Linked DNA regions of Mus musculus. The protein of the gene in region 1 purifies or fractionates together with the protein of each later gene. This does not show direct contact. Links are inferred from orthologs where the notes say so. Each region holds a gene or a part of one and is shown in the gene's direction. Other genes may lie near its edges.

Region 1 (3,550 bases):
TTTATTTTTAGCTTTTTTTTTTTAATGCAGCTTTGCTATTGTTCAGTTTGCTGTAGTTTTCTTGGCCTGGTTGTATTTTGCTTGGTTGGAGACAGGGTTACATTCTCTAGAAGAGCTGGCCTGTCACTCACTACAACTCCAGCTTACCTTCTGTCTCTGGTGATCCTTCTGCCTCAGCTTCCCCAGTGCTGGGACTGCAGAAACAAAACACCATTCCCAGCCCAGTCTGTTGTCACCAAGTGTGCTTTATAGTAACGTAATCTATTATCACCAACAGTAATAAAAAAAAAAAAGTGTAAAAAACTTGGTCATTTTCTATATTTTAATACATGAAATGCTTATGGGGTTTAGGTTCTGTTTTGATGCTTGTCATATTTCATAATCCCAGAACTTCTCAAAAATGAAAGGTCATTTTCTAGCACTATTCATCTATTTATTGAATAGTTTTTAGGTTCTAATAGTATTTTTTGTTTTGTCTGCATATATGTCAGTGTGCCACATGTGTCCTGTGCCTATGGAGGCCAGAAAAGGGGCAATGGCCCCCTGGAACTGGAAATACAGATGGTTGCGAAGCACGGTGTGGATGCTGGGAATCAAGCGTGGTCCTCTGGAGGAGTGGAAGGCGCTCATCCTGTGTCACCTGCCGAACCATTTGTTCTCTTTCAATTAATTACAACTAAAGACACTTTTCTTTCCAGTGGGCATTTGCTCTTGGCCTCAGCTTTTTTTTTTTTAAGATTTATTTATTATTATATGTAAGTACACTGTAGCTGTCTTCATGCACCAGAAGAGGGGATCAGATCTCATTACAGATGGTTGTAAGCCACCATGTGGTTGCTGGGATTTGAACTCAGGACCTTCAGAAGAGCAGTCAGCTTTTAAAAGTAATTTTTAAGATTATATATATTCATTCGTATATAAGAGTGTCTCTTGGTGTACACACACACACAGCCATGATATAAAAATATGTAGTTTGTTCAAAACAGAATCTGAACAATGTCCACAGGAAGCATCAGACTCAAATCTAAATGTTTTAATAAGATAGTTCTTTAGTCTGATTCACGACTTGAACATATTGTTTAGGACGAGTTGGCTCCACAACATCATCTTCAGGCTGGCAGTAAGTCTGTGTATTGTACCCAGTGTGTAGCCTGGTGATACTTAAGCACCATTCTGGCTGGTGGAAGCCTCTATGAGTTTTGTCCCAGTGCTATAATGACAGGGACCTGAGGAAAGGGTGTTCCCACTCAACTCACCTTGTCCCTGCAGATTTCAGTCAAACCTGTGATTAGGTCCCTGGGAAACGGTATTCCCAGCTAAACTCATGGATAGCCACTGTCAATGCAGTGCTCTCCTTCTTGTCACTCCTACTTACAGCTCAAGGTTTTATGTAGCTTGTTTCTCTTATAAAAAGCACTGGTTGTTCTTACAGCATCCACAGGTGACCTGAAACCATCTATAACTCCAGTTCCAGGGGATCCAACAACTACTTCTGACCTCTGAGGGCACCAGACACACAAGTAGTGCACAGATATACTTAATTTAATAATTAATTGAAAGAGAACAAGTGGTTCGGCAGGTGACACAGGATGAGCGCCTTCCACTCCTCCAGAGGACCACGCTTGATTCCCAGCATCCACACCGTGCTTCGCAACCATCTGTATTTCCAGTTCCAGGGGGCCATTGCCCCTTTTCTGGCCTCCATAGGCACAGGACACATGTGGCACACTGACATATATGCAGACAAAACAAAAAATACTATTAGAACCTAAAAACTATTCAATAAATAGATGAATAGTGCTAGAAAATGACCTTTCATTTTTGAGAAGTTCTGGGATTATGAAATATGACAAGCATCAAAACAGAACCTAAACCCCATAAGCATTTCATGTATTAAAATATAGAAAATGACCAAGTTTTTTACACTTTTTTTTTTTATTACTGTTGGTGATAATAGATTACGTTACTATAAAGCACACTTGGTGACAACAGACTGGGCTGGGAATGGTGTTTTGTTTCTGCAGTCCCAGCACTGGGGAAGCTGAGGCAGAAGGATCACCAGAGACAGAAGGTAAGCTGGAGTTGTAGTGAGTGACAGGCCAGCTCTTCTAGAGAATGTAACCCTGTCTCCAACCAAGCAAAATACAACCAGGCCAAGAAAACTACAGCAAACTGAACAATAGCAAAGCTGCTTGCAGGTTCTCTTGGAAAGTGCACGCTCCAGGTCCCCATAGCACATTCACTATGGAAATACATTAACAATCAGGGTTGGTTATCTTGTTGGTCAAGTTCTCAGAAAGTGGTCTTTGAACTGTTGATTCAGTCATATCCTTTGTTTTAATGACTGTGGTTTGGTTGTGAGGGCGTTCCTCCCCGCAGGGTCTATATGAAGGTCTCTCTCTTTCTGTGAAACCTAGATTATGTAACCCACCAGCTTCCGGGAGATCCCCTACTTCTGCCTTACAGCGGGAGTGCTGGGATTGTACATGTGGGTCATCCGGGCTGGAGAGATGGCTCAGTGGTTAAGAGCACTGGCTGCTCTTCCAGAGGTTCTGAGTTCAAATCCCAGCAACCACATGGTGGCTCACAACCATCTGTAATGGAATCTGATGCCCTCATCTGGGGTGTGAGACAGTTACACTGTACTCTACATACATACATACATACATACATACATACATACATGCATACTTAAAAAAAATAGATGTGGGCCATCAAATTGTGCTTATCTGTGGCCTCTGTTGATTAAACTCATGTTATAGGGCTTAGGTGGCAAGTACCTTTATCCACTGAGTATCTTGCTGGCTCTTTAATCTATTTGTACAACTTGCCGCTTTGATTCCTGTTCTCTGATGCTACACAAGTTCCATTTGCCTTAGGCTTCTGTAACAGTTGTGGCAGCCATGAGTCACAGCCATCACTTTTATGGTGCCTTCTCATCTATCCCCCTTGCATGCTCGAGTGATCCTTTTCTAGTCTCTGAGGACAGTCTTTGTTTCATTTCAGCCATGAACCAGAGGATCACTCAGAGTGCTCCAGTGAAGCAGCCCCCACCCTTGGCTCCCCAGAGCCCACAGGGAGGCGTCCTGGGTGGAGGCAGTTCCAACCAGCAGCAGCAAATACAGCTGCAGCAGTTACAGATGGAGAAGGAGAGACTGCGGTTGAAACAACAGGAATTATTTCGGCAGGTGAGACCACAGGTTAGAGTGCAGCCTTTGTCTTCTGGGCTTTCCGTCCCACAAGTCTGTGTTTCTCATTTTAGCTTCAATCAGCTACCAAGGAATGTCTGGTTTGTGAAAGTAGGCTCTGTCTGCCTGTCTTTGTCCCGTTCCTTGACTAGCCTTGGCTCACATGCTCTGTAATTCATTGCCCTACATCATAAAGAGCTATTAGCCAGAGTGGTGGTGCACACCTCTCCCTCTCATCCAGAATTTGGGAGGCCATTGCAAAAAGATCAGGAGCTCAGGACCAGCCTGAGCTACATTGTAATGTGAGGGCTAGCCTGAGCTACATGACAATTTCAAAAAGAAAAGAGAAAAGCACCTGTGCA
Region 2 (4,209 bases), on another chromosome or scaffold:
ATCCTGTAGTTCTGATAACAAGTCCTCTCCCAGGGCCTGGGCCATTCTGCCCTGGACCCCAGTGTCACAGGCTGCAAGACATACAGAGAGCCAGTGTGAACAGCCAGACTCAGGCTGGGGATTCCAGCCACCAGTCCTCAGTCACAGGGGACTAAGCCCCCTCTTTTGCTGGGGAGTCGGGTAGACCCTGAGACCAAGTCTCTGTGCAGAGCCCCAGCCCCAAGCCTGGCCCCTACCCCAGCAGCCCGGCTCACCTCCTTGCTGCACCTCACCTCTTCTTCTCACTTCCTCCTCAGTCTCAGCTCAGCAGCTTGCTGGGGGCCCCTCCCTGGTGGGGGGACTCCCCCCTTCCTCTGTGAGGTTCTTCCTGCTTGCCCTAGTGCCAGAGCCACGACCTCCTCCCATCCAGAGGATGCTGGGTGTATTGATTCCCTGGCTGGCCCAAATTGAAGATGACAGGCCACCTTCAGTTTTACCAAGTAAAACCAATTTATGGTTCCAATAATAATTATCCTTTAATGTCATCCCACCCCTCCAACCCCCTGCCCCGGGTTTTTTGTTTTGTTTTGTTTTGAGAGTGAAGGGGTAGTGTGAGAACAGGGTCTTATGTAGCCCAGACAGGAGATGACCCTGAACTTCTGATCCTCCTGTGTCCAGACTCCTGAGTGCAGGAATTTCAGGCACTGGAATTATAGGTTTACGACACCAAGCCTACTTTAATGTTCCTTCCAGAGCCGGAGCTGGAACCTCAGGCCTTGCACATGCTAGACAAGTCCAAGTACTCTACAAAGGACTTACAACATGAACGAGATACAACGTATTACATCACTTATGGAAAAAAAATGGACGTAGCAGGCACCAAGGCAACCTGGACCAAAACACTGCTTAGAGTTCAGTAGCAGGTGTTCATGGGTCTGGCCATAAAGATGGAGGTGAATGTGAGGCTCCGGAGGTCTGGAGCCCACTCTCAGTATCATTAAGCCTTAGTTTCTTTTTCTGCACTTCGAGGAATTTATTTAGTGTTTGAGAAGTCAGCGATTAACATGCTCATACCACAGTCCCACGCAGGGCTGGGGTGGGAGAGACTTGGAAAGAGAAAAACAATTCCTACAGTACTTCCGGCCCTAACTCATCTGAACGCGGCAGGGCGATTCCTCCAGGGTGGAGCCGACCTAACCCCGCCCTACCGAACCCCGGCTCACCACCCCTGCCAGCCCCGCCCGCTCGCCCGAGGCCCTCTCGGGCTGCGGAGCTTCCCGTCCAGGGGAGGCGCTAGAGAGCGGGGAACTACGGACGCGGCAGGGCGGGGCGGGGCGGTCGACCGAAGAGGAGGGGCGGCGGGCCGGGGGCGGGCTGGGGAGGGCGGAAGGAGAGCCAGGCCGGAAGGAGGCTGTAAGAGGGCGGGAGGCAGGAGAGGGCCCGGAGCTGGTGGGCCGGAGCGGCGGCGCCGCCATGTCCGACAGCGAGAAGCTCAACCTGGACTCCATCATCGGGCGCCTGCTGGAAGGTGGGCAGGGGTAGGGAAGGTGCGCTCGCGCCGAGCCCGGGCCCCTCGCCGTCTGGAAGTGGCGCGCGGGCGGCCCGCCGCTCCCGGGGGCTAGCGTCGCTTGGGCGGGGACAGGCCGTGAGGATCCATGGCCACGGCACCCCCCCCCCCCGCGGGCGCCTGGGCTTTGGAGCGCGCTCAGAGGCCGGGGGTGCACGAGTGCCCGGGACTCAGGGTGAGGCTCCTGCGAAGCTAGCTGGGAAGGGATCCCGAAGCGAGGAAGCTTCGGCTGACAGGCTGCTGAGCACAGGCGTTTCTCTGGAGGCCCTCCGGGTGGCTAAGGGGTCGGATCTTGCCTTTGAAGGCCTGACGCAAAGGTTTCGGGGTGAGGGGGTGGGGGCTCACTTGCAACAGTTGCCCCTGTTAGGGGGGCGCGACACCTACCCTCGTCCGGTCTGCGAGGTCAGGGTCCCAAGACCCTATTCCGTACTCAGTGCAGGGCTCACGGCCTGGGAAGAACGTGCAGCTGACAGAGAACGAGATCCGTGGTCTGTGCCTCAAATCCCGGGAGATTTTCCTGAGCCAGCCCATTCTTCTGGAGCTTGAGGCGCCCCTCAAGATCTGTGGTAAATCCTTGCACAGAACCCTTTTGCTTCCTGAAAATAGCCCCTACTCGTGCCCCATTAACCGTGTTCCTCCACCCTTTAACCTATTGCTGGCCCTGGGGTCAAGTTTACATCTTGCACCTACCTAGTTTTCTCTGGTTCCCAGGTGACATCCATGGCCAGTACTATGACCTTCTACGGCTGTTTGAGTATGGTGGCTTCCCTCCAGAGAGCAACTACCTCTTCTTGGGGGATTATGTAGATCGGGGCAAGCAGTCTTTGGAGACCATCTGCCTGTTGCTGGCCTATAAGATCAGATACCCGGAGAATTTCTTTCTACTTCGTGGGAACCATGAGTGTGCCAGCATCAACCGCATTTATGGCTTCTATGATGAATGTAAGTGCTTTGAATGTTGCTGTCTGCCCAGAACTACATTCCCTGCTCTTCATGGGCCCCCTACATTGGTCTAGTGCCAAAAGACCCCCAATGATGAGCCCTGTAGGGCCCCAGCAACACGTCTGTCGTCCTTGGCGCTCAGGAGGGGCCTGGTGAATGGATGTACATGCAGGGCTGCCCATTTGCTAAAGCCACAGCCCTGCCTGATGACACCCCCTTCTAGTACATTCCTTAGTAAACATTTAGGATGCCTGTATGAATAAAACAGACCCACTCCTGGTTTGGCCTCATCCATGGGACCAGAGTGGGTACCACCATCATGGTTGGGCCAGACGAGTTCAGGTGTTGGAATTCTGGAAGGTAGATGAGGGTAGAGCAAAGAGAAGAATGTAAGCTTTCTTTGCTTTTCGGTCTTTTTTTCTCAGCTTTGTCCCTGGATGGGTGCACAGAAACCTAGACTGGGGTTGGGGGTTGGGGGTGTAGTCTTCCCTATGAGCCGCTTCCTTTTGCGCAGGCAAGAGAAGATACAACATCAAACTGTGGAAGACGTTCACTGACTGCTTCAACTGCCTGCCCATTGCAGCCATTGTGGATGAGAAGATCTTCTGCTGCCACGGGGGTGAGAGTGGTTGTGGGTCTGTGCTTGGGTTCTTGGGCCACATCCTTAGGGGCCTTGTAAAGTTAACAGAACTCTTCTCAGTTCCCTGGAATAGCGCTCCTTGAATCTCATCTTGGATATCGCTTATTAGGGGAGATTACCACACCCCCGTTTGTTTTTGAGACTGGCTTTCTGGGTAAAACCCTGACAGTCCTGGAACTCACTTTGTAGACCTGGTTGGCCTTGAACTCACTAGAGCTCCTGCCTATCTCTGACTCCCAAGTGATGGGATTAAAGGCATGCTCCACCCACCAGTTTGGTTGCACTCTTTCCTGTTGTGGCATGAGGCATCCTGTAGTCAACTCATTAATCTCCTTCTGCCCCCCCACCCCCGAGGTCTGCTATCTGTACTTCTAAGTGGTGGTGTCATATAAAGTGAGTTCCAGGACAGCCAAGGCCACAGAGAAATGGGGCCAGTGGGGAAGTAATGGATTCTGTCTCCCTGAACTTAAGGAGCCCAGATTAGCGGTGGGAACAGTGGAGCTGTCCCACCCCAGAGCTGGGCACAGGACAGCACTTGGTTTAAGGAACACTATTCCCACTCCACCACCCCCAGGCCTGTCTCCAGACTTGCAATCCATGGAGCAGATTAGGCGTATTATGCGGCCCACAGACGTGCCTGACCAGGGCCTACTGTGTGATCTCCTGTGGTCTGACCCTGACAAGGATGTTCAAGGCTGGGGCGAGAATGACCGTGGTGTCTCCTTTACCTTTGGGGCTGAGGTGGTAGCCAAGTTCCTGCACAAGCATGATTTGGACCTCATCTGCAGAGCACATCAGGTGGGCTGGTGGCCTGGGGCGGGCTGGGGGTGGGGGTGGGGTGCCTAACTTACAGACTAAACCGTTCCTGCCCTGGCCCAGGTTGTAGAAGATGGCTATGAGTTCTTTGCCAAGAGACAGTTGGTGACACTCTTCTCAGCTCCCAACTACTGTGGAGAGTTTGACAATGCTGGTGCCATGATGAGTGTGGATGAGACCCTCATGTGTTCCTTCCAGGTGGGTGTGGGGAAGAGGCTGCCCAATAGACGCCTGGCTCAACCCCAGGACCCTGATGAGTGTTTTC
Region 3 (4,292 bases), on another chromosome or scaffold:
TAAATAAAAAAGTAAAAAAAAAAAACCAACAAAACAAACAAACAAACAAACCCAGAAAACACCAACCAACCAACCAGAAAAAGAAAGAACAACAGAAACCTAACCAAAATTTGTTGTATTATTCCTAAGTACCATTCTCTCTTGGCCAATGATGTTCTCCTAATTAAAGATCTACTCCAGGTGAGGCACAGTAGTGGCTGTGGGTCATCATGTGGGTGCTGGAAATTGAACCCAGGTTCATTGCAAGAGTAGCAACTGCTCTTAACCACTGAGCCCATATACCCCAGCTTTTTATGTGGGTGCTAGAAACTTGAACTCAGGTCCTTGTCCTTTCATGGGAAGCACTCTTATCTACTGAGCCATCTCCCCAGCCCCATCTTGTCCCTCTCTTTTCTTTTGTATTTTTCAAGACAGGGTTTCTCAGTGTAGACTTTGCTGTCCTGGAACTTGCTCTGTAGACAAGACTAGCCTCAAACTCACTACATCAACCTGCCTCTGCCTTTGCCTCCTAAGTGTTGGGACTAAAAGCATGTGCCACCACACCTGGCCCATTTCTGGCTTTTTTTTTTTTTTTTTGGTTTTTTGAGACAGGGTTTCTCTGTATAGCCCTGGCTGTCCTGGAACTTACTCTGTAGACCAGGCTGGCCTTGAACTCAGAAATCCTCCTGTCTCTGCCTCCCGAGTGCTGGGATTAGAGGCGTGCGCCACCATGCCCGGCTCCCATTTCTGGCTTTTTATGGCCAAAGACACTACTTATAGATTTCACTTGCTTGATAGTCATTGAATTTCATTTATGTAACACAGGACTTTGATCTCAGGGTTAGCAATGGTAGTTCATACTTTCTGAGCGCTAAACTCAAGGTTTCCTGGAGTGAGTTCTATCTGTCCCTGGCTTGCTTGGGGAGAGAAAAGGCTCTTCTGAAAAAAAAGAGGCAATAATAGCTTAGGATGTTATCGGAATCTTGCATTGATGTTGAGGCTGCTGTTACATGCACACTTGGCTCAAGTCTCTAGGTCTCAATCTTTCTGCAGATGCCAGATGTATGAACTTTAGGAGGGTCTGGTTTTCTAAAATCACAATTAGGGAGAACCAAGGACCCTGAGTTCTCTATTTTCCTAGTATTTGGAATACAGAGGAAGCGCTAGTCGCCATCTTGCTATCAAATGCCAGGCAAGGAGCCACTGGCGTCGTTTGGTAACCACGGTGACACTCCGGCTTTGCCTTCTTAGAGACTGGAAACTACAATTCCCATCAGCCGACTTCCCCTCCGGGCTCTCGAGTGCTCTACATTTGGCTTGCACACAGCCGCGACTCTACGCAGTGACCCGTGGGAGTTGCTGTTCGCCGCGTAGCCTTGCCTTTTGCCGCTGGAGCCTCCAGAACTACAAGTCCCGTGAGGCAGCGGAGTGCGCACGCGCAGAGCCGCGGTCCTCCTCGGGCCCCCTGCCAGTGCCAGGAGGTAAAAAGAGAGGGCGGGGGAAGGAAGAGGAGGCGGGATCCGGACGCTGCGTTGGCTGCGGCCTGGCACGAAAGGGGCGGCCCCGGCGGAGAGCAGACCCAGTAGTCCGGGCGATTATGGACCCGGCAGAGGCGGTGCTGCAGGAGAAAGCGCTTAAGTTTATGGTGAGGAGATGGGTGCGGGCAGGGGACTAGTGGAGGCGGCTGCGTTGGCGTGTCGCTGAGCTTAGGCCAGGGTCACCCGCTCACCGCAGGAGGGGGCAGTGGGACTGGGGGCCAAGGCCAGTGGCGAGGCGGAGGGAGGGACTGGACCTGAGCTTGGGGGAGGGTGCAGGAGGGTACAGAGGGGACCCTGGGGTGGGGGCAGCAGCTCCGCCATCTTGTGGAAGAGAGGCCAAGTGACAGCGGGAGCTCATTCGAGGTGGGGGCTCCTGGCGGCGCGCGGGGCCCCAGAGGGAAAGGGGCGTGGGGACAGTTACTGAAGAGCGGAGGAACCCGGGTGGAGAGACGCCTGTGGACGCTGGCAGGGGCCTTCCCGGTGTCAGGGTTACGGGTAAGGCCTGGGAGAGGAGGTGCACTCAGGAGTGGGGAATAGTGGAGATAGGATAATGGCAAGACAGACACTGGGGGCAGGGGGAAACTGGGCAGGGCTGGAAACTGATGGCTGTAACGGCGAAAGTGGGAAAACCATGGCTGGGAGGCAAGTATTTTTGTAGGATGGGCTGAGAAGATAGCCTTTGCCTAAGGGCTAAGGGTGGAATCCCAGTTAGCTCTACTAATGTTGGCAAACTCTGGAAGAGGCCTCATTTAAGAAGATAAGGACTCAGACCTAGGGCTATGGTGACAGTTCCTGGGAGAGAAAGACAGTGTTGATTGTGAGCTAGAATTACAAATATCAGAAAGGAGATACGTGCTCTGTTTTGAAGGAGAGGGTCAAAATTATTTGTGGTAAGGACAAAGCGATGAAAGAAATGTAGTTACAGGTGAGTGGGGACAAGGTTAATAACCAATAAGAGAAATCAAAACAAAACTTGGGCCTTCAGTGGTGAGGTAGTAAAAAGTGGGGGAAGCCAGGTGCTGTATTGCTTTCTGTGAGAAGAAAGTCCTTGGAGAAATGAGATGTGAGGAAATTTCAGAGGAAGGATGTAGGGAGTAGAGAAAGTGAGATAAGTCGGGATTGGTGGTTGCCCGTGAGTTTTAGGTTGTAGTACAGAGTGAGTATTGCATTTTTAGGGTCTGTGTCAACCCCTTAGGCCCTGTTTCTGTAACTTTGTATGGTGGTTCTCCTTTGCTGTGCTTGTCTTTGGCAACCTTGACCAGTCTGATATTTGATGCTTTTAATCTGATGCTTTCTTGTATAGCCTAGGTGTAAACCAGCCTCTAGTTACATCTAAAGAAGGATGGATGCATAGATTTTTTTTTTAAGCTTAACAGGTGGTCTTAGGGATAATGCATTATTTTCAATCAAGTCTTGTGGTTTTTTGTTTATTTGTTTGTTTGTTTTTGTTTTTTTTCAGAAGTAATTGTAACCCATCTTTCAAATAGCATTCCTTGGTTGAATAGTTTTTTTGTGCCTTTGCCTAAAATGCCATAACAAATTTGATAAACATAGATACTAACTTAGTTGAAATTAGGTTTTAAATTGTCCCATTCATATTTATAGAAGCTGGTCAAATTTAACTTTTTATTTTGGGGACTGGAGAGGCTGCTCAGCAGTTAAGACCATTGCTGCTCTTCTAGAGGATGAAGGCTTGATTCCCAGCACCCACATGGCTACTCACAGTGGTTTAACTCCAGTCCACCCTCTTCTGGACTCCCCCCCCACCCCCCCACCATGTACACAGGTGAACAGGTGATGCACAGACATACATGCAGACAAAACATCCATACACGTAAAATAAATAAATAAATAAATAAATAAATAAATAAAGTGTATTAAAAAGATAAAATTTTAGCTGGGCTGTGGTGGCTTGGGAACAACACTTGGGAAGCAGAGGCAAGACTGATTTCTGAGTTCAAGGCCAGCCTTGTCTAGAGTACCAGCTCCAGGTAGTATGAGCTCTGGGACAGCAGAACTACATAGAGAACTTCTGTCTCTAAAAGCCAAACAACAAAAACATTACTTTGTATCCGTACCTTCAGAAACACAAGTTTGTCATTCACAAAATTCTATTGAGCCAAAAGACATTTCTTGAATTTCTGTCCTGTGTTGACCTTCTAAAATATTGAGACCCCAGGTCTGGAATTGTGGCTTGTACCTTATTCTCCAGTACTTAAGAAGTGGAGTCAGGCTGGGGAAGGTGGCCTACATCTGGACTGGTAGGTGGATCTCAGTTTGAGTCTAGCTTGGTCTACATAGTGAGTTCTAGGATAGCTAAAGGCACATAGTAAGAACCTGTCTGAAAAACACAAAAAAGAAAAGGAAGAGGAGGAGAGGAGGAGGAAGAGAACAAGCAGGAGGATGGTGAGGAAGAGGCAGGAGTATTGGCCAGGTGAAAGCCAGCTTGGGCTACATACGGAATTATACCCTGTGTCAACAGACCATAAACAAACAAAAAAACCAAACAAGCTAGCTAGGTGTGGTGGTGAATGTCTGTAATCCTAGCACTGGGCGGAAGGGTCAGGAGTTAAGTCTGCCAGGGCTACTTGAGACCCTGTTTACAAACAAGCAAATGAGCAGAGACCTTGAAATCTTGGGGGAGAGGATGGGAGTAAGTCAGTACTGCTTTTATGCCCTCAGCCAGCTTCCAGTTGTAAGTCAGAAAAGTGCTCAGTTTTGTTTTCCGGTTTCGAGGGTTGGCTCTGAAGAGGAACCTGCCATTTAATTAGATTT
Region 4 (4,078 bases), on another chromosome or scaffold:
CTTGGTAGACCAAGCTGGCGTTTAACTCAAGAGATTCACCCACGAGTGCTGGAATTAAAGTATGGCCTTCCCTTTAGTGTTTTTTTGCTGTTGTTCTTGGAGGTGCTGGGTGTTGAATCCAGGGCTTCAGTCACGGTCAGCAAGCACTGTTCCACAGCCTCAACACCATTTTCTTTTCCAAGTCAGCAAAAGTCTAACATACACATTTGTCATCTGTCTCCTCTCCGTCTCTAGAGAATAAAGCTCTGTGCCAAGGAACGTGTTGGATCCCCAGTGTCCCAGCAACTAGCACAATGCCTGGCTCTCCATGGCCGAAGTGACAAATGAACCGTTTCTCAAGACGCCTCTTTACTCTCCTGGCTTTCCTAACCTAAGCAACACTCAGGACATGAGACAAGACTAAGCCTCCAGTCTGCCGGCCTCCATTCTCCGCGGCGGTAGAAATGAGCCTAGAGGTCTCAAGGAACCCAGCAGTTCCACAATTTAGTAAAGCAACTATGTCCAAGTTTGTGTGGCTTGGCAGTGCGCAGGGATGGCGAGCCAAAGAAAGCAATCTAGGAGTTGGGTGGCACCGGCGGCCTAGCCCAGCCTGCCCTCCCCGGATAGGGTTTGCAAATCCTAGCCTGTCAAACCCACCGCTTCTGCAGTGGGGCACCCGGGTAAGGCACCCATTTTCATGGTGGCTAAGGTCCAAGGCGCCCACCTCAGAAAGGACTCTGGGAAGGTGTGGCCTCTGCGTCAACTACGGCCAGAGGAAAAGGTGCCAACCCTTTGTTCGGAAAATAGCACCTCAGTAAGAAACGCGGGAAACACAGGGTGTCTTTTGGCCCAGCCAGGCTGTTGGCCGCTGAAAGAGAGCGACACGACGCATCCAACATGGCTGCGGCGCCAGCGCGGCGAAAAGCGACGGGAAAGAAATGGCGCCGGGCTGTGTGGCCAGCTTGGGGCACACGGCGTTGGGACGTTGGAACCAAGAAAGCGGCCTCAAGACTCTCTGGGTTCTACTGCCCAGAGACCCGGAAGTCTGACTAAGGCTACGTGGAGTGCTACCATTATGTCTGCACAAGGCCGGCCTCAAGCGCCGGGTTGAGCTCGGAATGCCGGGAAAAGTCCATTCTCGAAACAGAATGCGCTACGAAGACTGCGCTGACCCGCAATAGTGGGCGGGCCAACGACGCCAACACTGTGACGTCGTGCCGACGGCTCGCCCCACCCCCAGCCAACGTTCTAGAGCTGGCGGTGCGAGAACCCTACGCCGGTTGCGCACATTGCCTTGTTTAAGGTGGGCCGACCAGGGCCCCCATCTCCGTCACCGACGTAAAGCGGTTCCGAGAATGTCCGTGGCGTCGCGCGGAGCCCTCCAGACGCTGTTTACGTAGCGTCTGGGCCGTGCGTAGCGTTAAGTTGGAGCGGTCTCCGCGGCCGCCGCCATTTTGTGCAGTTGCTGGGAAGGAAGGGAGACGCCTCAACCGTGGCACCGCCCGGTTTGAGCGGGACCAGACCTCCCGACTGTCCTAACAACCCCGATTCTCTGAGTTGTGCTCCCGTCTCCGACGAGAGAGGCGGCGACGGTGGCGTCTGCGACGGGAGACAGCGCGTCGGAGCGAGACAGCGCCGCGCCTGCCGCCGCCCCAACAGCGGAGGCGCCGCCGCCGCCATCGGTCATCACTAGACCCGAGCCGCAGGCCCTCCCGAGCTCGGTCATCCGTGCCCCGCTCCCAGATCTTTATCCGTTTGGGACCATGCGTGGAGGCGGCTTTGGGGATCGGGATCGTGACAGGGACCGTGGAGGGTAAGGGGGAGGTGCGGGCGGGGGGCGGGGTGGCCCGCAGAGCCCTGAGGCTCGCGCCGTACAATGGCGGCGGCGCGCAGGCCTCAGGCTTGGGCGGACGTCTCTGCGGACCGCGATCCTGGCTCGGAAGTGGCAGGCCAGCCTTGTCGCCTCTCTTGGCCCGCTCGCTGATCATTTGATCCCTGCAGGCCGGCCGCAGTGTCTGTCTGGGGGAGGATCCGGATGCTCAAGTTTTAATCTAGGAAAAGCTGCTTGAGATCGTTTCTTTTCCGCTATGTTAGCCATCCCTGTTAGAGAGGGACTGGAGTCGAAAAGGCCTTTTTTTGGTTTTAAACTAGGTTTTACTCCCTTTCTGTTATATTTTTGGTTAAGTGGAATCAGATTGGAATGGGAAGTGCTGGAGTTGCTTTCCAAAAGATCCAAATTGCGGGTGACTTTTTTTTTTTTTTTTTGAAACTAACAAAGCCTGTTGAAATCAAGAGAACTCCTTGAGGTGGCACACCCTGCACTAGAGACTGAGTCAGGCTTGGAGTTCAAAGCTAGCCTGGGCTACACAGATCAGAACAAGAGAACAGTTAGCAGAGTTCAAAGTGAGGGCAGTGGTAGAAAGAAAAAAAAATCAGAATAAGCCTTGTAAAGGAATCGTAATTGTAGAAGCTTTATTCTGTCCTAGGTCATTATTCAAGATCCAAGCAGTTTGGGATTATAAGCAAGCCCAGTGGAAATAACACATAGGAGCCACATTATTATCCTTATTAGACTTAGCCTTAAAATCTCCTAAAGATTGGGTTTTGGCCATTATTACAGATTGAAAACAAAAGAAAACTGGTTATTTCTAGAAGTGTTTTAGACTTGTATCAGTTGCTTCATTTGCAAGTGGAGTAAAGTAGTCAAATGAGAAGGCCTGGCTCACTGTAGTATTGCACTGAAAAGCCAGAGGCCTTTTAAAGGTCTTGGTGGGTCTACTCAGTTGAATGTTTTTCTTTCTAGTTGTGCTGGTTTAGCAGTGGTATTAATAAGTCACCCAAATTCTGCCTACTGAATGTAGATACCCAAAGAATTCCAGTAAAATTTCTGGCCATGATCACTGCAGGGTGGGTTTGTCTCAGGGCCATGAAGCTTAGTCTAACGGTTGTCCTGGAATGTGTCCTCAGTGTCCCCAAGTTCAGAAACACGGGTGTAGGCCACCACACCAGGTTCTAACAGAAGAGGGGATTACCTTGTGGGGTTCCTGCTACCTCTCCCAATATTGGCAGGTCTTGAAATGAAATTCTTTAAAATAACTTGAAATTTCTCCAATTTTCTAGTGGTTTACAGGAAATAAGGAAATGAGATCTTGCAGAGCATGGTGGCTCATGCCTTTAATCCCAGCACTCTGGAAACAGAAAGAGAGGCCTCCAGCACAGCCAAGGCTATATAAAAGAAACCCTGTCTCGAAAAACAAAAGAAAAAAGGAAATGAGATTTTTTTTTTTTTTACAGCCCTGTACTCTCATAGATTAAGACAAAGAGGGTATATTAGGATTGTAGTTTCTAATTTCTTGTATCTTAGGTTTGGCAAGTGGCCATATCTATATTGTTTAGCTTACCTGTTTGTTGTATCTAAAAGACAAGGCTTATTTAAATCTGAGGGGGGTTTGTTTTGACACAAGTCTCATAGACCAGACTGCCCTTGAACTCTGACCTTGCCCACAGCTTTCACGTGCTAGGACTACACGTTATTCAATACCATGTCTAGCTTTGAATCTTATTTAAAAAACAAAACAAATACCCATAACCTACATTGATGGGGTTTTTGTTTTGTTTTCTCCCTGTAACTAAATAGTATTATTTGACCCTGGTGTGGTGACTCACATTTATAATCCCAGTGTTTAGGAGGCTGAGGCAGGAGGATTTCATAAAGAAGGCTGGAGAGGAAAGGATTACAACTCTTTTATTCTGGCTCTTTCTTTAGAGTAAACTAAACACACTAGACCCTGATGTCCCAATAGTTTGCTTTATAGAGTAGCAGAGAAGTTTTTGCCCCCAGCATAAGTGGGGAAATTGGCTAAGAAGCTGTTGTAAATTTGAAGGACTTGCTTGAAGTACATTTTTTTCGATGTCCACAGTCTTGGTCTTGCAGTTTAAAAGAGTACCACTTCTCTGCAAGAGCAGAGACCGTTAGTTTTTATTGTATCCAGAATCTCTAGTGCCAATTAAAACTATACTTAGTATAAAGTCGGTATCACTAACTTTGTCAGAGAGCTAAAATAGGTGGGAAACTGAGGTGGGAGGAATGCTGTTCCTT
Region 5 (4,274 bases), on another chromosome or scaffold:
TGCCTGCCTCTGTTTCAGCCATCTGAGATTAAAGGTGTGTGCAATCAAGAGGGCCAAAAGAAAATTCTCAGGAGAAAGAAACCATTGAACCAACTCGTAGAGTTTTGCTTTGCTTTGCTTTGTTTGCTTTGTGGAGCCAGAGTTCGGAGTATGAAGCGTAGCCCTGTACTAGGGAAGTAGGGGCGGGAGATACAGGAGTTTCAGTTCATCCTTGGCTGCTAGAAAGTTTGAAGCCAATGTGCATGGGGCGCACGCCTTTAATCCCAGCCCTTGGGAGGCAGAGGCAGGCAGATTTCTGAGTTCGAGACCAGCCTAGTCTGCCAAGTGAGTTTCAGGACAGCTGGGGCTTTACAGGGAAACCCTGTCTTGAAAAACGAAAGAAAGAAAGAAAGAAAGAAAGAAAGAAAGAAAGAAAGAAAGAAAGAAAGAAAGAAAGGAAGGAAGGAAGGAAGGAAGGAAGGAAGGAAGGAAGGAAGGAAGGAAGGAAGAGAAAGAGAGAAAGTAAGTTTGAAGCCAGTGCGCATGGTGGTGCCCACCTTTAATCCCAGCATTTGGGAGGCAGAGGCAGGTGCATTTCTTAGTTTTAGGCCAGCCTGGTCTACAAAGTGAGTTCCAGGACAGCCAGGGCTACACAGAGAAACCCTGTCTTGAAAAACCAAAAAAAAAAAAAAAAAAAAAAGAAAAGAAAGTTTGAAGCCAATTTTTGCTACATGTGTAGCACAGCAAAGAAAAACAAAACCAAGACACCTGAGGGCAACTCTCTGGAGCAGCTGTGCCCACACTTGAACATTATCCTTTTCCTTCTTGTCTCTAGATCCTAAACTCAGTCCTACCCGTGTACCCTCTCTCACCTCTACTTAATAAACTTGCCAACTTTGCCCCACAGGGGCTTGTCATAAAATTCTTTCCTGGCCCGGCAGTGGTGTACACCTTTAATCCCTAATCCCTGCACGCTGGAAGCAGAGATAGGCAGATCTCAGAACTCAAGGCCGGCCTGGTCTACAGCTGGGAGTAGGAGGTTTAGTAAGGTTTTTTGTTTGTTTTTATTATTATTATTGCCTATATGGCTGAGTCAAGAACTTTCCCGTGTGTATACACTTGCGTGTGTGCAATAACTAACACCTACTGAGTCTCTACCCTTTGCAGAATGTGCTAAGTCATCAACATGACTATCCACCCCCCACCCCGAGACAGAGCTACCTTACGTAGCTGTGTGTGACCTGGAACTTGCTATGTAGACTGGTCTGCAATTCATAGATGATCGTCCTACCTCTGCAGTCTATATACTGAGCTCACAGGAGTACAATTCCTGGATTAACGAGTTCTTTCTAAAATTGTTTATTTTGCGTGTGCCCCTTTGTATGTCAGAAGACAGTCTGTAGTTGGTTTTCCCCTGGCGTCATGTGGATCCAGAGAATGGAACTCATTTGGTCCTCAAGGGTACAGGAGGCAGGGCTCCGTTACCCGCTGAGTCATCTCACTAGCTCCTTCAACGTTTACTTTTATGTTTTACAAAGAAAAAAAAAATCTTTTTTTCCCCAATGCCAGGTAAAACAAGCTAGTGAAGAGAATGAAGAGTGAAGGAATGAATGAATGAACGAACGGTCAGAAGAGCGCGCTCCATAGGGTAAGGGATCCTTGGAGATCTCCAGCGGAGATCCCAGGGCGGAGCTCAGGCGGACCCAGCGCAGTAACCACTCCGGAACTCCACCTTGCAGCCCCAGGGTGCCTGGCCAGCTCCATCCTCACGCCCTCGCCTGGAGCAGCCGCCCTCGGCGCGCTGGGGACAGAAGGGTCGCCGGCCCGGGGCGCACGCCCACCTGTCGCGCGCAGGCGCAGAACGCCGCCTGGCTCTCCCGCGGCGCAGTCAGTGCGCAGGCGCGGCGGCCGCTGCGAGTGTGTCTGTGCGGCGAGAAGATGGCGGCGACGGGAGACGCGGCGTGAGAAGCCGGAGCAGCACCGAACCTCATTGAGACGGGCCGCCATGGCCCTCCACAACCCACAGGTAGCGCGGGCCGTGTCTGGGCTGGGAGGTCTGGGCCACGGGACGGCCTCGGGGCGACGATCGCGAGGTGCGCGGCGGGCGAGCGGTGGGGGAGGCGCCGGCACGCTGCCGGCCTAGGCCCGCGCCGCGCCCCTCAGTGCCGCGCTTCCCCGGCTTCGGAGGCCGCCCGAATCTCCCCGAGAGCGCCCGAGCCGCCCCGAGAGTGTCCGAGCCGCCCCGAGAACGCCCGAGGCCGCAGGGAAGGCCTCCGCGTGCCCGGCCCGCAGCCGCCGAGTCCCGGGCGACGCTCTGGCCCAGCGCCGCCGGGGACCTGGCCCCTGGCCTCGGGAATTCTATTGCAAAGAAAACCGGGAAGCGCCGGGGCGGCATACTCCGGTTTGCCCGAGACTGACACCTTTTGCACGGTGTCCGAGCCCGGGCTGGGTCGGGGCCCGGCAGGCCGGATTGCCTGCTGTGTTTTCTGTGCCCGGAGCTGCTCCTGCAGCCCCTCTCCTAAGATGCACTTAGGACGAGTGAGAAGTCAGCACGTGGTGCCGCTTCTCCGGGCTGCGACTCTCGGGAAACTAAGAAGTAAAATTGCCTTTTTGAGGATGGTAGGTGGATGTATGTACAAGGCAGGTGAGGTCGGTCTGGTGAGGCCACCTTTGAAGAACGATCGTCTTTTTATTTGATCTTTCTCTTGGTCCACGATCGCCTCTAACTTAAGTTTTTTTTTTTCCCTATCTCAGCCTGGTGCGTTGCAGGCAAGAGCCACCATGTGCTTTTGAAAGGTTTTAGTAACTGTTGCAATATGGGATTTAAACCTCGAAACTGTTTTTAATAAAAGGTTAGATCCTAGGAGAAACTTCCGTTCTCTTAAGTATGTGGTGTTTCATAGATCAAATCTGAACTTTGCCTGTTTGACCTTTCCCCTCATCTGTAAATGCTTTTGTATTTGGTGTGCTTTTTTTTTTTTCAATAGGCAGACGATTCGTATTTGTTGAATAATATTTTGACAAGTGGTTTTTTTTTTTTTTTAAGTTTTAGACAGGTCTTCATTATGCAGCTGTGGTTGGCTTGCGATTAAGGCAACTGCCTACCTCTGTCACCAGAGGCCCTGGCGATTCGGAATATTCACCACCACCACATCTGGTTCTATTTAGGCATTTTTATTTTATTTTATTTTATGTGAATGAATGCTTTGCTTGCATATATGTATGTTCCTGGTGCCCATTGAAGCGAGAAGAGGGTGTTGGATCTCCTGGAACTGGAATTAGAATGGTTCTTAGCCTCTGAGTCCTGGTAGAAATGGAACCCCAGTTTTCTGCAAGAGCAACTATCTTAAACCTTGGAGCCATCAGCCCTTCATAGCCTTGCTCAATTCAAAAACACCTGTAGTCCCAGCACTAGGGAGGCAGAGGCAAGCAGATCTCTGAATTTGAGGCCAGCCTGGTCTACAGAGTGAGTTCTAGAACAGCCAGGGCTACACAGAGAAACCCTGTCTCGAAAAACACCAAAAACCTCTAGTTGACTACCTTGTTTTATTTTTGGAATTAGTCTGTACTGCTCATTCTGAACTGAGCTGTAATGTCAATTCTCTGTGTGTGTGTGTGTGTATGATTTTGGGGCAAAGAAAGCATGCTTAAGCAGAATTCACTTTCTCAAGCACCAGCAACAATATCCAGTTGGTGGAAGTGGTGGTGAGTGATTTCCTTGGGGTCCATTGTCCTGGCATTGCATGGAGCCTGACCGGAGAAACCAAACAAATGTTAGCAGTGCCTTGGGTCAGCTAGTGGTAGAAGGGAGAAGAGGTGATGGTAGTTTTAGTCCTGTTTTATTTTGAAAAGACGAGTGAAATAGCTGTGTAAGGTGGAGCACACCGGTACCCCCTGCATGCGGGAGGTGGAGGCAGGATCAGGAATCCAAGGTCATCCCTAAGTACAGAGCACGGTGCAGTTCTCTCCCCTTCACGGAGAAAAAGGGGGAGATGGAAGGAGGGAGGGGGAAGGGGAGGAGGAGGAGAAACAGGAGTTCACTGTTTTGAGTCTGTTTTGAGTCCTAAGTATTTTAACAATTAGTTCATTCAGTCAGATACTAGCAGGTTACCTAGGGCTAGCCTCCATGATGTTCGAAGTGGGTGGTTTTTGTTTTGATTTGTTTTTGGAGACAGGGTTACAATGTAGCCCAGGTGTGCTTTAGACTTGAGTTTTCCTGCCTCAGCCTCTCAGGTTTTAGGGAGGAGCCTAAATGTCCTCTAGGGCTTTGTTGAAGTAACTGTCACAGGTTTACA
Region 6 (3,550 bases), on another chromosome or scaffold:
TTCATACTGCAGTATCCTAGAGAATTTGGTAACAATTAATAGGATTCTGATATTGTAGCTTAGGTTGATAGCCTACCCCAACCTCCTGTGTGCTGGTTATAGCCACCAAGCCCAGATGAGGAAAAAGAACTGGATGAACCCCGTAATATAAGAAGTATTGGCAAATGACCTTGAATCAAAGGGAGAAGTTTGTATTGCTCACAAAAGTGGTAGAAAGTTTACTTGCAATAGGAGTATGAGAGTTGAGATGCTAGTGGTGAGCAGATGGGTAGACTACACAAATGTGCTCCCGGTTACCATTTCCTGTGTGCAGTAAGTTTAGTAAGTATTTGAGGACAAAGGAATAGCAGTTCGTAGTCATCTGAGACAGGGAAACTGAATGTCGTGAGTAAACATGCTTCTATGAGGTTGCTGGTCATAGCTAGCTAGCTTGCTATATGTACTTCTAGCATGTTCTACCACTATATAGGCAGTATAAATTCTTAATTGATTTTGTCTAGATTTGGGAGTTTGTTAGAAATACATTGGGGAGGGTTTGAAGCTATATAAGAAGATAATTTCATGATTTATTGATTTAATGTAAACAGATTAAGGGTCTGCAAATAGTTTTAGATATTATGGATTCAAAAATCATTGGTGTCTTCCTGTATTCATGCTGTATGTAGGCATGAAGACACAGGGGTCCTACAGATTAATAAAGGAATGGAACAAAGTACATGGGCTTTTTATTTCTGTGTTTAAGTTAATTACTAAAAATATTTAAAAGTGGCAGAATTTGGTAATAAAGTCTCATCATCTCTTTATAGTTTTTATGTACATTATGTTTGACCTATGAAATAAATGTTTTCATTGTAGTTTTCTATGCATTGCATAGTATGCTAATCTTCACATTTTATACCATTGAATAGTGCTTTTTAATATGTAAAGCTGCATGATTTCTATATTGTCACTATGCTATAAAGATTATTATTTTGTAAGTTTAAATAAAATGTTTTGTTTGTTTTTAACAGGCACTGTTCCATGGAAAGTTTATTGATACTGGTTTCTCTTTACCATTCTACAAGCGTATGCTAAGTAAAAAACTTACTATTAAGGATTTGGAATCTATTGATACTGAATTTTACAACTCTCTAATCTGGATAAGGTTTGAAGTTTTTTTTTGTAATAGAAGTAATTACTTGAAACCCATTCCTATACTGTGTTTATATGCACACTCACACTATTTTTTTTTTTTTTATCCAGAGATAACAATATTGAAGAATGTGGCTTAGAAATGTACTTTTCTGTAGACATGGAGATTCTGGGAAAAGTTACTTCACATGATTTAAAGTTGGGAGGTTCCAATATCCTGGTGACGGAAGAAAACAAAGATGAATATATTGGGTAGGTTGATAGAGCTGATTGAATTCATTCTGTAGAAGGTATGGGATATAATTAGAAATATCCTATATTTACACTCTTAACCTTAGTAGTTTTTATGAAACACATGGAAAACTCTCGTCAGGTTCTTTCTCCGCTGGCTCAGGTCCTTGTGCTCTGTGCTGATCCAGATCCTGCTCGAGTTTGCTCGAACAATGCATATCGTTAGTCACTTTCCCATGTGCATTCGCAATAGGCAGTCTCGCTTCTGACCAAGTCAGAAGCCATGACAACATGCTGCTGAAAGCGATTTCCAGTCTTCAAAATCTCAGAAAGAAAAGTTGTATGTTCTCCTAGCCTATTACACATATACATATACAATGCAATGTGTGTGTGTGTGTGTGTGTGTGTGTGTGTGTGTAAAAGTGCACTTCGGGATAGTATAACCTGAAGAAGAGAACAGGAAAGAGTAACTTATCAGAGATGATAGTGAAAGACTGAATGAATGTAGGTAACTGAAACTTGATTCATAAAAGAGGATATAAAGTATATTTTTTCTAGTTTTAAATCTGCCATTTTTTGGTGATGGATAAATGCATGCAAATATTCAATAGTGAAAATCCAGTGTGAAGCTTCACAGCTTCAGAATGTTTATAACGATCAATAGATGTGGGGTCTGGTTAATTTTGGTGTATGAATTTTTTATTTTTAAGTTCTTTATGATAAAAATTTAACGTAAAGTATTTTGCAAAGGCGATGTAGCCTCCTCGTTTACAGATGAAGGGACTGAAGCTATGCCAGGAATGGGCAGAATTGTGTCTGGGAACTCCCCTTTCACTGACATTTCATCCCACACTACTCTTGAAAAGTTTTAGTATTTATTTATTTTGGCTTTGCAAGAAAGGGTTCTCTATGTAGCTTTGGCTGTTGTGGTATTTGTTCTATAGACCAACCCAGACTCAAAATCAGAGACCCACCTACGTTTGCTGGGAATAAAGGTGTGTACCAACACACACAGCCCACAATCCCAATTTTTAGCTTGTACATAATAAATATTTTATTGGCATCTATTCAGTATGTATGCTGCTGGGTTGTACAAAGAAGTTTTAAGTAACCATGGGCTTTGAGTATGTTCAGTCTTGCATTTCCTCCCCCTAGCCTTACTGCCTTCAGCTACTCTTATCCTTTCCCAGTTCGTTTTCTATTTTCCTGTCACAGGACAGCTAGAAAATTGGCTCAGTAGTTAAGAGCATTTGCTGCTCCTGTGTACTAAACTCCAGTTTGGTTCCCAGAACCTACATGGTAGCGCGCAACCATTTGTAACTCTAGTTCCAGATCCGACTCTGTCCTCTGCAGGCACCAGGCATTCACATGGTACATATAACATATGTGCAGGCAAATATTCATCCACTTAAAATAAGAACACATCTTTGAAGAAAAAAGTAACGAATATATACCTTTCTGAAAAAAGGGAAGCATGAAACCTTTGCTTTTCTGTCTGGTTTATTTCACTAAACATAATCATTTCTAACTTTACGCATTTTCATCAAGTTGAGATTATAAATATAATTAGATTATTTCTCTCTTCTTATCCCTCCCTTCAAGCCCTCTCCCATGTACCTCTGCTCTCCTTCAAATTCATGGACCCATGCTTTCATTAACTGTTGTTACATGTTTATATGTATATGCGTATATATTCCTAAATATAACCTATTCAGTCTGTATGATGTTAATTGTATGCATATTTCCATGGCTGTATGGTATTTGGTAAGCAATTAGTCCTCTTTCCTGTTTTTGTCTTTTAGTAGTTACTATAGAAGCAAGCCAGATTACATGCTCAGCGGCAGTGTGTAAGGATGCTCTTTTCTCTGCTTCCTTGCTAGCATTTGTTGTTTTCTCTTTGTTAGCAACTCTGGGGTAAGATGGAATCTCTGTGTAGTGTTAATTTGCATTTCTGTGATGACTAGTGATGTTGAACATTGTTGTTTTTGTTTTTGTTTTTTTTTCCATTTGTTCCTCATCTTTCAAGAACTGCCCATTCATTAGACGAAAGTCAAGTGGCTTTTTAACTCTAGGGCCTGTATTTTATCAAATTGATTCATGTCTCTGTTTTTAGCCAGGCCATTTATTTTTCTGACTGTGTTTCTGTATAAATTGAAACCACCATGGTAATATACCTACAGCGTTGTTC
Region 7 (4,348 bases), on another chromosome or scaffold:
ATAGCAGCAGAGATGAAGAGAAACTTAGATGAAGGAAAACTAGAAACAGTGTAATGGATATCAGGAGGAACGGGTGTTGAACATGCTTCAAACATGTATAACCCTGTACCAGATCCAAGCGGCTTTTTATCTGCATAACATACAGGATGGAAAAACAGGGAAAGTCGAAAATGAGGAATTCTTGCAAGATTTGGTTGTGAAGTGTGGGAAGAGAATGTCTGTAGACATAGGAAATTGTGTCTAAGGAGGAATCTAGTTTAATTTTGCCTTTGAGGTAGGAGAGGCACGGACGTTTAAAAGTTGACAGGGCAGATCTTTGGTTGGGAGCAGTATGTTCAAATCTGTGGCGATTAGGTAATGAGTAATGTAAGAAGTGTAAGAAGTGGGTGGGAGGCAGGGAGAAGAATCTCCCATCATGATTGGAAAGAATAATTGCCTTTTGTTACGGAGGGGAAGAGAGAAGAGGATGGATACGGTCTTCAGATAGACAAGAGACCCAGTAGGAATCCCTGACAGTGCCAAAGGCCACTGTAAGAGATGACATGTTTTCCATAACTGCTTTCTGTCCTCTCTTCCATTCAAAAGTGTAGCTGCTTGTGAGAGCTGATGGAAGTGTCTTTATTCCTCGTCAGCTGTAATGCAGCCTCCTCCCAGGTAACCTGTGTGCGTAGGTGAAATTAAGACCGTGGGAGAATAACATTTCTTCATTAATTTCAGTTCCACCTCTAGAAGTTTGGTTTGTTTAAAAAAAAAAACAACCCAGGTGGTTTATTATAATATTATTGACACGACCATATGTGCATCTGTGCGTGCGTGCGTGTGTGTGTGTGTGTGTGTGTGTGTGTGTATATGTGTGTGTGTGTGTGTGTGTGTGTGATTTCATCTTCTAAATTTAACAAAGCTTGCTAAGCCTGCATTTTATAAATTTTAAGACAGTCTTATTTACTATGGCACAATAATACTTGAGGGTGGGGCAGAGGTCACATTGATTCCTTTCTCCCCACCTTGGTTAAAAAAAAATTCATATTTTAGTTCAAAGCTGTTCAAGTAAGTCCTTGCTCCGTTTTCCCACCCTGTCTTCAGTGATATTATTTGGAGTCAGCAATCAATGGATTCCATCCCTCTGAGACTTGCTTAACCTACAGCCGCTGATATAATACAGGCAAGAGCTTGTTACTTTATCTGAATTGTCCATCGCTACCTTAATGAGTGAAATGGTTAAGTAGAGGAGGGGGCGAGCCTTAAGGAACGTGTGTACCGTTTGAGCTGAATATTTCAGCGTATATGGGGAGAGGGAGGGAGAGAGAGAAACCCACTTACATCACTAGAACCTCAGCGAGTGTGAGGCTTGCAGGTTAAGAGACAGACTACAGTGTCTTGCTTTCTGCGGGAAGCAGCAATGCCGTTTGTTTCCTAAGAGGGATTTTTTTTTATTTAGAAAAGGAAGCTTTCTCTACCCAGGAAATGGCTTTCCTTGTGCGTTGCTATGCCAACTGCCTGCAGCCATGGTCCTCCAAAGTAAGCACAATAATGTAATTATATTGGTGTATTGCATTCAGACTCATGATTCTTGAGATTGTGTGTGTGTGTGTGTGTGTGTGTGTGTGTGTGCATGTTCCATGTTTCTGTCAGTGACTCCGGCTAGCAGGCATGCTTGTGTTGAGTGTGAGGGACAGACATCATTAAATTAAATGTCCATCAGTGTCATACTGCTGAGATTAATTGTGTAAACTTGGTTAGTGGAGTGGGACAGAGATCACTGGTCACCACTGTCAGCATCATTAGCAGCTAGGGAGGAGGTCCTGATTCACACGCTCTGCCCTGATTTTTTTTTCTCTTCCTCTCTTTTTTTTCCTTGGTTGGAGGGGTCTGTATGTGTGATTGCAAATGAAACAAGAGTGTTAACAATGCTTGGCTGAATGCTAGAGACTAGCTTTTCACCACCCTGGCTAATATAATTCTGTATTAAGCCTTTTGGAGGGGAGTCTGTGTGCAGTCAGCCATTTTAGCTTTTTTTTCCCCCCTTTTCTTTTGCCTCTTGTTCTTCAGCCTCAGAAATGATCTCGTTCTATCAGAAGCCTGAAGGCTGGGTGAGGTTCCCTCAGCCTTGTCAGAGCCTCCGAGGGTTAGAGTTTCAGTGTGATAAAAATGGAGCCGAGCCCTGTCGTTCAGATTCCTTTTCTGTCTACAAGTGTGAAGGGTTTTTAGGCTCACCAGTAGTGACACTTTAAGCTGCAGCCTGGTTTTCCCTCCTCCCTCTTTTTTTTTTTCCTCCCCTCTTTTTCTTTTAATTTCATGCTGTAGAGGGTGACTTGCCGTCGTGAGAGGTTGGTACATGATGTGTAAATTCAGTTCAGCATATGTTTCTTCATTATGAAACCACTGGCCGCGCCTGCTAACCATGGAGTTCTGGGCCAGCAGGAGAAGCAGTCTGTAAGTATCCAGGCGCTGCCGGCATCGTGGGCTGCCTGGCTGGGGGGCAGGCGATGTGGGGAGCAGGCAGGGAGTTCTTTTCCATGGAGCGTTGCTCTTCTCCAGGGGAAGCAGTGTTTTAGAGGGTAGAGAGAGATCCTCTGCTCAGAGGAGGGAGGGAAGGAGGGAGGGAGGGTGAGCTACAGCTCACTCATTCTTCCGATTTTCTGTGATTTCTGAAAATCTTAAGCAAGACCAACAGTTCATTTAAACAGGACCACTAACATTGAGAAATACTAGACAGCTAATTATTATTTTTTTTTGTCATTAGAAAATAATATAGTTTTCAGTAAATGCCCAAGCAGTTTGAGAAACCAGTTTTGGTTGAATTTAGTGAATCATTATAAGAGGTTCTGGCCCATGGGAATCTGGCAAGGAATGCACGTGGAGGTGGGTGGGAGGGTGGGGGCTCTGGCTATTGATTTGGCAATGAAACCATCGGTGGTACACTTCTGACTCCTTAACATTTGTTAATTGGTGGTGAAAGCACACTGTATTGTTTTAGTGCCACAGGAAAGATTACTGCTCCTTTGTAATTGGTCCCATGAGTCAGCTGTGCGATTGTCTTGCTGAAATCCCACAGGCAACAACTGCTATTTGTGAGAAACATATTTCTGTGTCTAACTCCAGGTCAGAGCCTCCTGTTCCGGGAATATGTGCACTCCTGTAGTGCGACTTTTGTGTCACCATGTTACAAGTTTTTTGCCGTTTTGCCAGTTCATGATATTGACATATATATGTGTGCATATGTATGTATGTGAACACATATATGTATATGTATGTGTATGTACATACACACATATATGTTATTCTCCTTATAATGTGCTCAGATTTAGGTGGGTGTATAAGCATTTTAGAACTGTCTCCTTACATATCCTAGACCTGTACATTATGATATAGGAGTTAGTTTTAATTTATTGTAAGAATTGATGCAGTAGTGTTGAACTTTAAAAATACTTATAAACCACTAAAGCCTTGGAAATGAGTAAGTAGGATGCCATGGATTAGAGTATTTGGTTTCGGTTTTGTCATCAGTAAGTGATGAGCTCTTCCGTTGGGTGCAGGGAAGTTCCTTAGATGCAGTGACCCTGAGGAGGTGAATGAGCCTCCCTGGCAAATTCCAGTTCCGTGCCTTGTCCAGCCCTATCCTGGTCGGGTTCTAGGTGTGTTTCCTTGATGAAATCTCTTCAGACCTAATCTAGAAAAGAGCCACCATATGCCTCATTTTCCAAAAGAAAGGTTGTCAAGCAGAACTCGCACTGGAGTCTGATTTTAGTGCAGGTCTTTGGCGCCCAGCTCCATGGAGTTAGTTAGAGCTTCCAAGGAAAGAGTAGAGTGCCTCTTAATCTGCACTCGAGCGAGGCGGCTGCAGAGATTTAGCTCAGAGGCTCAGAGGCTCACCGTGCACCTTTCTCATGTAACCGTTCCCCAAGTGGGAAGGGGTAGCATTTAAATTCCTAATACACGTTTAACAATGAGAATTATTAAAACCATTGATGGGTCAGGGAAGCGACACGTGGATTTTGTGAGATGCTAGAGCTGTTGGAATGGAGAGCACTAAGCGCTGCCCATCGACCAGGAGGCAGTGCTTTGTGCCAGACTTGAGTTTGTTTCCTAATAACTACTTCACATTCTCACCAGACAAATGAAGTGTTAGGATTTGCACCCAGAGCTCAGAGTGCAGGGCATGGGCAGCTTGGGATTCTGCGGTCTGGCTGCTGGCCGTCGTCCAGTTCATTCTGACTGACATGTGTCACTTGGCCGTCGGAAGGGGGAAAACAGCTCAGGTCCTCAGGCAGTGGTGGGTCAGCCCATGGTGATAACTGCAGTGGATAAGCCTTTTTTTTTTCCCTCCTATAATGCTGTATCATAAAAA

The links.
Region 2: the proteins of Yap1 (region 1) and Ppp1ca purify together in Homo sapiens (affinity purification with mass spectrometry; 5 studies listed by BioGRID and IntAct, with this or other methods). This does not show direct contact. The link is inferred for Mus musculus from reciprocal best matches to the Homo sapiens genes YAP1 and PPP1CA.
Region 3: the proteins of Yap1 (region 1) and Btrc purify together in Homo sapiens (affinity purification with western blotting; 16 studies listed by BioGRID and IntAct, counting the BioPlex papers as one, with this or other methods). This does not show direct contact. The link is inferred for Mus musculus from reciprocal best matches to the Homo sapiens genes YAP1 and BTRC.
Region 4: the proteins of Yap1 (region 1) and Ddx17 purify together in Homo sapiens (affinity purification with mass spectrometry; 3 studies listed by BioGRID and IntAct, with this or other methods). This does not show direct contact. The link is inferred for Mus musculus from reciprocal best matches to the Homo sapiens genes YAP1 and DDX17.
Region 5: the proteins of Yap1 (region 1) and Usp10 purify together in Homo sapiens (affinity purification with western blotting; 4 studies listed by BioGRID). This does not show direct contact. The link is inferred for Mus musculus from reciprocal best matches to the Homo sapiens genes YAP1 and USP10.
Region 6: the proteins of Yap1 (region 1) and Wwp1 purify together in Homo sapiens (affinity purification with mass spectrometry; 3 studies listed by BioGRID, with this or other methods). This does not show direct contact. The link is inferred for Mus musculus from reciprocal best matches to the Homo sapiens genes YAP1 and WWP1.
Region 7: the proteins of Yap1 (region 1) and Rapgef2 purify together in Homo sapiens (affinity purification with mass spectrometry; 3 studies listed by BioGRID and IntAct, with this or other methods). This does not show direct contact. The link is inferred for Mus musculus from reciprocal best matches to the Homo sapiens genes YAP1 and RAPGEF2.

What each region holds. Positions count from the first base shown.
Region 1 is NC_000075.6:7,952,591-7,956,140, reverse strand, and holds part of Yap1 (transcriptional coactivator YAP1), read left to right. Parts: intron 1-3,006; coding exon 3,007-3,188; coding exon of another isoform or gene 3,189-3,200; intron 3,201-3,550. UniProt on the Homo sapiens protein: Transcriptional regulator with dual roles as a coactivator and corepressor. Critical downstream regulatory target in the Hippo signaling pathway, crucial for organ size control and tumor suppression by restricting proliferation and promoting apoptosis.
Region 2 is NC_000085.6:4,190,765-4,194,973, forward strand, and holds the start of Ppp1ca (serine/threonine-protein phosphatase PP1-alpha catalytic subunit), read left to right. Parts: upstream 1-1,409; 5' UTR 1,410-1,452; coding exon 1,453-1,507; intron 1,508-1,980; coding exon 1,981-2,112; intron 2,113-2,257; coding exon 2,258-2,488; intron 2,489-3,002; coding exon 3,003-3,107; intron 3,108-3,702; coding exon 3,703-3,926; intron 3,927-4,007; coding exon 4,008-4,142; intron 4,143-4,209. Other genes in the region: Tbc1d10c (carabin), read right to left, coding at 1-45. UniProt on the Homo sapiens protein: Protein phosphatase that associates with over 200 regulatory proteins to form highly specific holoenzymes which dephosphorylate hundreds of biological targets.
Region 3 is NC_000085.6:45,362,263-45,366,554, forward strand, and holds the start of Btrc (F-box/WD repeat-containing protein 1A), read left to right. Parts: upstream 1-1,471; 5' UTR 1,472-1,576; coding exon 1,577-1,624; intron 1,625-1,818; exon of another isoform or gene 1,819-2,012; intron 2,013-4,292. UniProt on the Homo sapiens protein: Substrate recognition component of a SCF (SKP1-CUL1-F-box protein) E3 ubiquitin-protein ligase complex which mediates the ubiquitination and subsequent proteasomal degradation of target proteins. Recognizes and binds to phosphorylated target proteins.
Region 4 is NC_000081.6:79,543,909-79,547,986, reverse strand, and holds the start of Ddx17 (probable ATP-dependent RNA helicase DDX17), read left to right. Parts: upstream 1-1,245; 5' UTR 1,246-1,742; coding exon 1,743-1,792; intron 1,793-4,078. UniProt on the Homo sapiens protein: As an RNA helicase, unwinds RNA and alters RNA structures through ATP binding and hydrolysis.
Region 5 is NC_000074.6:119,908,935-119,913,208, forward strand, and holds the start of Usp10 (ubiquitin carboxyl-terminal hydrolase 10), read left to right. Parts: upstream 1-1,425; 5' UTR 1,426-1,984; coding exon 1,985-2,005; intron 2,006-2,011; exon of another isoform or gene 2,012-2,502; coding exon of another isoform or gene 2,503-2,598; intron 2,599-4,274. UniProt on the Homo sapiens protein: Hydrolase that can remove conjugated ubiquitin from target proteins such as p53/TP53, RPS2/us5, RPS3/us3, RPS10/eS10, BECN1, SNX3 and CFTR.
Region 6 is NC_000070.6:19,625,466-19,629,015, reverse strand, and holds part of Wwp1 (NEDD4-like E3 ubiquitin-protein ligase WWP1), read left to right. Parts: intron 1-1,010; coding exon 1,011-1,144; intron 1,145-1,242; coding exon 1,243-1,383; intron 1,384-3,550. UniProt on the Homo sapiens protein: E3 ubiquitin-protein ligase which accepts ubiquitin from an E2 ubiquitin-conjugating enzyme in the form of a thioester and then directly transfers the ubiquitin to targeted substrates.
Region 7 is NC_000069.6:79,142,941-79,147,288, reverse strand, and holds the start of Rapgef2 (rap guanine nucleotide exchange factor 2), read left to right. Parts: upstream 1-1,542; 5' UTR 1,543-2,373; coding exon 2,374-2,433; intron 2,434-2,479; exon of another isoform or gene 2,480-4,348. UniProt on the Homo sapiens protein: Functions as a guanine nucleotide exchange factor (GEF), which activates Rap and Ras family of small GTPases by exchanging bound GDP for free GTP in a cAMP-dependent manner.